Rhinolophus ferrumequinum: one gene and its partner. The protein of the gene in region 2 interacts with the protein of the main gene of each other region in a pairwise test. Links are inferred from orthologs where the notes say so. Each region holds a gene or a part of one and is shown on either strand. Other genes may lie near its edges.

What was found. The genes of interacting proteins can lie anywhere in the genome.
Region 1: the proteins of NR4A1 (region 2) and PRDX4 interact in a two-hybrid assay, tested with the Homo sapiens proteins (2 studies listed by BioGRID and IntAct). The link is inferred for Rhinolophus ferrumequinum from reciprocal best matches to the Homo sapiens genes NR4A1 and PRDX4.

What each region holds. Positions count from the first base shown.
Region 1 is NC_046284.1:108,181,207-108,184,951, forward strand, and holds the start of PRDX4 (peroxiredoxin-4), read right to left. Parts: upstream 3,032-3,745; 5' UTR 2,909-3,031; coding exon 2,665-2,908; intron 1-2,664. UniProt on the Homo sapiens protein: Thiol-specific peroxidase that catalyzes the reduction of hydrogen peroxide and organic hydroperoxides to water and alcohols, respectively.
Region 2 is NC_046293.1:52,247,021-52,250,765, reverse strand, and holds the start of NR4A1 (nuclear receptor subfamily 4 group A member 1), read right to left. Parts: upstream 2,900-3,745; 5' UTR 2,714-2,899; intron 1-2,713. UniProt on the Homo sapiens protein: Orphan nuclear receptor. Binds the NGFI-B response element (NBRE) 5'-AAAGGTCA-3'. Binds 9-cis-retinoic acid outside of its ligand-binding (NR LBD) domain.

The DNA.
Region 1 (3,745 bases), on a different chromosome or scaffold from region 2:
AAATACTTTTTTTTTTCTATTCATGCTCATTCCCCCACTCCACATTCCATCCCTGCACTAAAACTCTACTGGATACTTCAGTACAGCCCCTCCAAGTTAAACAACTTCCTACATTTCAAATAATTAGATGTTCCTTTCTCTACTGGTAGTCTTTCAGATGTACTAATTTAAATGTCCAGTTTCTCACACACAGAGGACCTTCTGCCACACTCAAAGAAATCTGCAAATGCGTTAGGCCAGAAGTATAAAATCCCAGACAATAGGATTATTTTCCTAGAAGGTTCTGAAAGAGGAGGCCCCCTTGAACAGGTTTTAAGTGACCTGATGGAAATTGAATAGTTCGTGCTTCTCTCTTGTAAGGGCATGCTGTAATTCTAGTCAACATGCTTCGATAATAATGTACCTTGATCTTCTGTTAACACATTGAGATAGCACTTAAACTTTCAGAACCATTACATACATTGAAGTCAATACTTCCAAGTTTGGCTAAAGTTCCTAGAAAGTAAGGCTTATAATAGCCAGCATTTATTATATTTTGTATAACAGCCAGCATTTATGGTCACTCTGAAAACAGACACAAACTTAAGATAAATTTTTCTGTGAAGTTAATATATAAGATAATTACTTATCTTGCGTCAGCAGTGTACCGCATATAAATATCCTGATCTGATTAGGTTAAGGCCAGGAGGGAGAATTACATAGCAGAAGGGTACTAAACTCTATATGCTTTACAAGACATTACTGAAAATGCCACTCAAGTGTGAGGTTAAAATTGTAATCATCTGTTAAAATGACACTCCTTAATGATTTTAGCATGTTGAGAAAACCAAATCTGAAAAATAAATTTTGTTCTCAAAATTCTGAGTTTGGAAAGTTTGGGTTTTTGCTTTAAGAATTGCAGTGTTAATTCAAAGAAAAAACTGTTATCAATTTATAGAGCAAAAAGAATGGAGTCACCTTGCTAAGATCTATAAACGGAATTCCCAAAACAACCCCTTGCATCTATTAAAATCCTGAATATAAATCATATAACAAAGATTCTGGCAAAAACAAAGCAGTATAAAGAAGCATATTTAAATCTCCTCTTCCCATAACCTCATTAATTTAACTACTGTTAACATTTGATGTCTTTTCTTCCAGTCTTTCTTAAACACACAAATATGGATCATGTTGCACCCCTTTAAGAAAAAATTGTAAATCATGAACAGGTTTTCATGTGACTAAAAGTTATTTGTAAGTATGACCTTAATGGCTCTATAATATTCCATTTTATTAATAAAAGTCCTTGTCTCTTTAATTCTAGATAAGCCTACAAAAATTTGAAAAAGTTTGCTGGTAAAGGAAACTCTATTACAATTGTTTTTTTTTTTTTTGCTTTTATGAGAAGACTTAGATGGGATTTCTGATGAGAAATACGTGTAATGCCAGTAAACACTTAACTAGCTGACATATTTCAAAATATCTTCCCAGGCAAATTAAACTAAATGGGACTTGGAAATATTATGATTTTAAAAGGGCAAGACTGGGTTTAAAAAAAAAATTAAAAGTAGTTAACTTTCAGTAGAAAATAACTGCAAATGTTTAAGGAGGCAAAACAGTTTTCCCATCACTCCCACTGTCATAACAACATCCCACGTAACACTTAGGATTCATAACTGTAAAGCATACTTTTTTCACTGAATGCTGGCATAGAATATGCTATAACTGAACCACAAAAGCCAAATACACATGTTCAGAATGCCAAGTGATCAGTAGGAAAAGCAGGTTACTTTAAAGCAAGCAAGGGACAGTTTTTATCCTTTAACCTCTGGTCACTTCTTTTTGGCTAATGTTAACATCCAGATGCAGCAGGCCACAACTTTATCAGTATTTTACTAGTCTGACGTGTCCTTCCTGCAAGTGGCCATTAGCTGTGTACACTGGACAGAAATGCAAATAATGAAAAGCCAAATTGGCAGGACACAAATTTGCCACGAGGTTTACCATCAACTCAGATGCATTACTTTCAACCTCCTTTTCCCCGCTTTCCCTACAAAAAGCCTCCAAAGTACACCCTGTAATAAGTTCTTCATTTCTAAGAGACACAAAGAATACACATTAACTATACAAGTTTTGGGGAAGGGCTTTTAATAGTCTTCCTTATAAGATGAAAAAAAGGAAAGAAAAAATGAAACGTTTGCTCTCCTGAGTATTTTGTTTAGCCACTTTTCTGTTTAATCAAACTTTTTGTGAATCCTTATTCAACTTATCAACGTATTCTTCCCTGAAATAGTACTTGGAAACAGACGTGACGTGCTGCAGCCACTTGGCGATGTTTGAGGAAGTGTTTCAGTTTGCACAACATCCTCAGATGTCTGCAGGTCCAGGACCAGGGCCACCCTCTTTCCCTTTTCTGCGGCTTTTGGGGTAACCACTACTTCTTCCAAAATCTGATTAGTGAAAACCATCCCTTTCTCAACAGCTGGAACCCACTCCCCCACCCCACTCCCTAAGAAAGCCAGGCCTGCCCAGGGACCGGAGGCAGCCCAGGGGGTGTAGCCTAAGCCAGGTTCCGGGGTACCCACTGTAACCAGGGCACATGTGTCTGCCGGCCCTCCTCACTTCCCGCCTCCCTCTGCCACCGGTCACCTCCGCACCCCACCCCATTGGCGGGGCACCACCTACTCTTAGCTTTGCTGAGGTGCAGGGAGTGGTCGGATACCGAAACTCGGGACGCCTCTCCCGGGTACACTTGTCCCCCCGCGTAGAAGTGACACTCCTCTTCACGGGTTCGGGGCCTCTCCTCTGCCTCCCAGCCCCGCAGTGCCCCAGCCGACAGCAGGAACAGCAGCAGCGGCAAAAGCAGCAGCCTTCGGCTCCAGCCGGGGACTGGAGTCGTCGCGGCTGGCAACCGCGACGGTACCTCCATGACCACGCGAGTGCAGACACAAGTCCCTTGGCGCGCGCGCGCGCGACTTCTCCCGCCGCCAGGCAGCTACAACCGCGCGCTCGACGCCCGCGCGAGCCAGGGCGCGGCCTCGCGAGACCTGCTCCGCCCTCCCACTCCCCGGCCCCCACCCCGCCCCCTGCTCTCCCCGTTCCCGGGGCCCCCCGCCCCCCCCCGCCACGTGGGCGTCAGCCCCGCCCGCTCGCCCCCAGCCCGCATTTGCGCCTGCGCCTTGGGGCGGGCCAGGACCAGGCGCTCAGCCCAACTCTGCAAACGCTACTTGCTGGCATCGCACGTGACTGGCCTCACGCGCTCTGCTGCTCTGCACTGGTTTAGACATCCTCCCATTCCCATTTTTTTCCACAAAGCCTAACTACCGCACAGCACCCCAACAAAGTCAAACTAACCTATCTGCTTTTGAACCGCTTGCATTTTATACTTCTAACAGTTACTCGTTTTCTCTTTGAAGTGATCTGTATGAACAGAGCCACGATTCCCTCCTCTAGTTGCAGCCCTTTTAAGTCCTGGGAAACTTGGAGAAGAAAGGTCTAACATTTATTCTCCAGCAGGCAAGGGCAAACAGGCACTTTGGTGACTTCAGCTTGTCTCAAAATGTTTTTTGGTTTTTTTAAATCAAGATTTTAAAAGTTCCCAGAAGACCAAACTTACTCCCAGCACAGTGTTGTTCCACCTTCTGACAATTACCCCATCACATTAAGGAGCCAGAATCCCTTCTATATTCCTGTGAGCTCTTGTCATCTTTCTGAACCCCGCAGAAGTCTATTAGACTGTCAGCTAGCTCCCTGGGAGATGTCGAAT
Region 2 (3,745 bases):
CAGGCGCAGCCAAGTGTTGGCATTCTCTGGTCATCAGGCTGCCATTCGGGCAGTGATGAGGCCTGGGAAAAGAGAAGTAGATGTTTCCACGATGGGAGGCAGAGGGAGTAAGAAGGAAGAGGGCCCCAAAGGATGGGTGATGGGATTCCTTGCCCTCCTGACCTCTGCCCCAAGCTACACAGATAAGGGGAACTCCTCCGGCCCACGTTACACAGATTCTCCTCATACAGAACGACCCGCACCCCTTTGTTCCTGTGGGTATACTGGGAGCAGGGACTGAAGGCCACAGGAGGGAAGGAGGGGAGAGCAATCTGGAACATCTGGGGGGCTTCCAACCCCAAAGAGAAGGCAAAATCAGGCCGCACACGTGCCCTAGCCAACAGGCTACACCTGCCTCCCAGAATGACGGTCATCTCCCCATACTCCAGAACGGGTCTGATGTCAGGCCTTCACCCCCCTTCTACCAGTCAGGCCCAACCTGAGTGCCCAGGTCATCCCCACCTGTGTCTGAGAACAGGAGCCAGAGTCAGGGACCCAGTGGTGCCAAGAAAGTGATTCCTAACATCTTAGAGCAGGTACCTGATCCCATATCCTGTCCTAGATCAAAATCTCCTCCTCTACAGTCATTCTACAAGCATTTCCCGGGGGCCTCCTGTGAGACGGGCAGTTAGCCATGACTAGTGGGAGACCCAAGAAGCAGCAAACCAAGATCCCTGGGTCCCAGGAGGTTACACTGGGGAATCAATCAAGATCAATGGCAAAGTCTAAGTGGGCCCGGAGGAGGAGAAAGTGATGCTCTCCAAATGGGGTGGCGGCATCAGGCCAGACATCAGTACCTACCTCCTGCTCCCTCTTCCTCACTGTGCTCCAGCCATATGGGCTTTTCTTTCCCCACTCAGGGCCCTTGCACTGGCTGTTCCCTCTGCTAGGAAATCACTGCCCTGGATGTCTGTATAGCTATCTCCTCCTCATCAATCAGGTTTCCATTCTCATTTCCTTGGAGCGCCTCTACCCTACCCCACCACATTAACCTGTTTTTGTTATCCCCATAGGACTACTGCTGCTCATTTGTTCACCTGTCTCTCTCGATCGATGTAGTCTTCAGTCTCTAAAACAGCTTGACGCTAGTAGGTACTTAATAAGTATTCGTGGAATGATGGAAAAGGAGGAGGACTCATGCATGCCTGCATTAGAACTGAGCTGGGAGCTTGGAAGGATATTGCAGCTAAGGAGCTGTCCCTTGCATTTGGGGACAGATTAAAAGTCTGAGGGCTCTTCCCTATGCTGAGTCAAAACCCTGACCCCCAAGAGCCCCCAGCCCTAAGTCCCAGCTCTGCATGGGCCCACCCAAAACCCTTTTCTTTCCTAAAATAACTGTGTCTTTTCTTAACTAAACTCCCCCTTGCAACAGGACATGACTGACAGACCCTATGCAGCCCTGGTGGCCTCCTAGGCAAAAGATCTGCATTGGCCAAAGTCTCCAACCAGAAATGGGCATTTTAATATAACAAAGGATAACAACAGGAAATACATGTTGAACGCCATGGGCTAGATACATCATTAAGCACTTTACATGCATTTTCTTATTTCAGCCTCACAACACTATGAGGAAGGGACTGTTATTATTATTATTATTATTATTATTATTATTATCATTATTATTATTATGAACACTTCACCAATGAGGAAATTAAGGCACAGAAATGTTAAGCACCTTGCCCAAGGTCACACAGCTAGAAGTGGCAAAGCTGGGATTAGAACCCAGGGAGCCCAACCAGGGAGCCCAGGGCCACGCATTCTGCTTTCCCCCTTGGACCTGATTAGTGGATAGAGGTCTCAGATTGCACAGAGCAGTTTGACAGCCAACACCAGAGAACAAGTGGGACGCTCCCAGGCCTGGGTTGCTGGGCCTCTGAACCAGGCTCTAGGCCTGAACTCCTGAGCTAATTTTCTTAACTCCAGCACAGGCCTCAACATTTATAATCAGTCACATTCATCTTGTTAGTCTTGGTCCATCCTTCTGCCCAGTTGCCATCATTTGGAATCTTGATTTTTATCCTACTGTACACTTGTCACTCCTTTCAGCTCTAGGTCACTACAAAGATTCAGCTGGCTTCCCTTTTAAGTCTTCCTTCATCCTTTGGGCAGAACTGTTGTGAACCCACCGACCTATGCCCAGCCTTCGTTTTCCCAGCATGCCCTTAAATAGTAGCCCCAAACCCAAACTGATACTTCACTGTAAAGGACTGTAAATGCCACCTCCTCAGCATTTCTAATTTCAGGTCGGCTCCTGACTCCATGAGACCCTTCTCGGCCTCGGTTTCTCAACTCAGTCCCATGAAAGGACTGCACCGGGCAATCCTGATGCCTCGCGGCTCGGCGTCCTGGCAGCCACGCTCCCCAACTCCTGGAACCCGTTCCCCGCAGCCGGCAGGGAAATGGAAGGAATTTCTCCGGCCTAGACACCTCCAACGCCCCTCGCGGGCCAAACCCCACCCTTGGCGGGCTGGTTAGAGAAAGCATTGGCCGCCGTTCTTGGGGGCTGACTCCGAGGTAGCAGGTTCCGCTGGGAATCCAGTCCCTTCCCCCACGCTGTCCGGCTTCGAAGCAGGACTCCCGGCGTGGCCCCGGCCCATCCCAGTGCAACCGCAAGATCCTCTTGTTCCCGGACCTCTGCGGGACCACCTCTCCCCGCCCCCCCCGACCCGCTCACCTGGCCGGGCGAACGTGGCTCGCCTCTCCACCCCCGCCTTCCCAGCTAGCGCACCAGCCGGCGGGGGAGCCGCTCCGCACCTCAGAGGCGACCATGCCTGGAGGCCTGGGGTCGCGGGCGCCGCGCGGGACCCCCACCAGTTCCGCTGCAGCCGCCTCACGCTCCCGCAGCCGAGCCGCCGCGCCGCCGCGCCCCTCGCCCGGGGGAAGCCCCCCACCTAGCAGTTCCGGCTGCGGCCGCGCCCCCCGCCCCCGCGGCCCGCGGGCGCCCGCGCCTCTGTCCCAGCTCGGGGCGCGCCTCCCCCGGCAGGCGGGCGGGCAGGGACCGTGACGTGCACCCATTGACGTCTCCGGAATCCCGGCGGCGGCGGCCGACGCAGCCTCATCAATGGGGCTAAAAATAGCGGCGCCCGGAATAACTGTGAGCGCCACGCCCTGCGCCCCCCCCACACCCCCAACACACGCGCAGAGCGCCTGGTTACATAATCCGCCCCGCTGCGGCTGGGCTGGGGTGCTGTTTTTCAGGTGAGGGTTCTGTGGCCTTGCTAACACCTTCCGAGACAGCAAACCTGGAGCTGTTATAAATTTACCCGGGGCTTCCCCTGAAAAAGAGGTGGAAAATGTGAGGCCCAGAGAGGCTCTGCAGCAGCCCAAAGTCACACAGCAATTAGGCTGAGAGAACAGGCCTCTGAGCCCTGGGCACCCCCCACAGCATCTCTTGGCCTGCATGCCACCCCGAGGGCAAGGAACCCAACTAGTACGGTGCCCACGGAGTGGTTAGACCCCAGGACCCAGGAAAATCAGCCAGCAGGTCTCAGAGAAGAGGACTTCTTGGGGGAGTGAAATTTCTCCTGAAGAGAAGCACTCCCAGAGGTGGGAGTGCAGAAGGGGACAAGGCCTGGGTGTTGGATTCACAGATCTGGGTGTTCCTATACTACTGTCTGACCTAGGGCAAGTCACTTCACCACTCTGAGCCTCAGTTTCCATACCTATAAAATGGGGATGATAATATGACCCATCTTTTCTGGTTTTC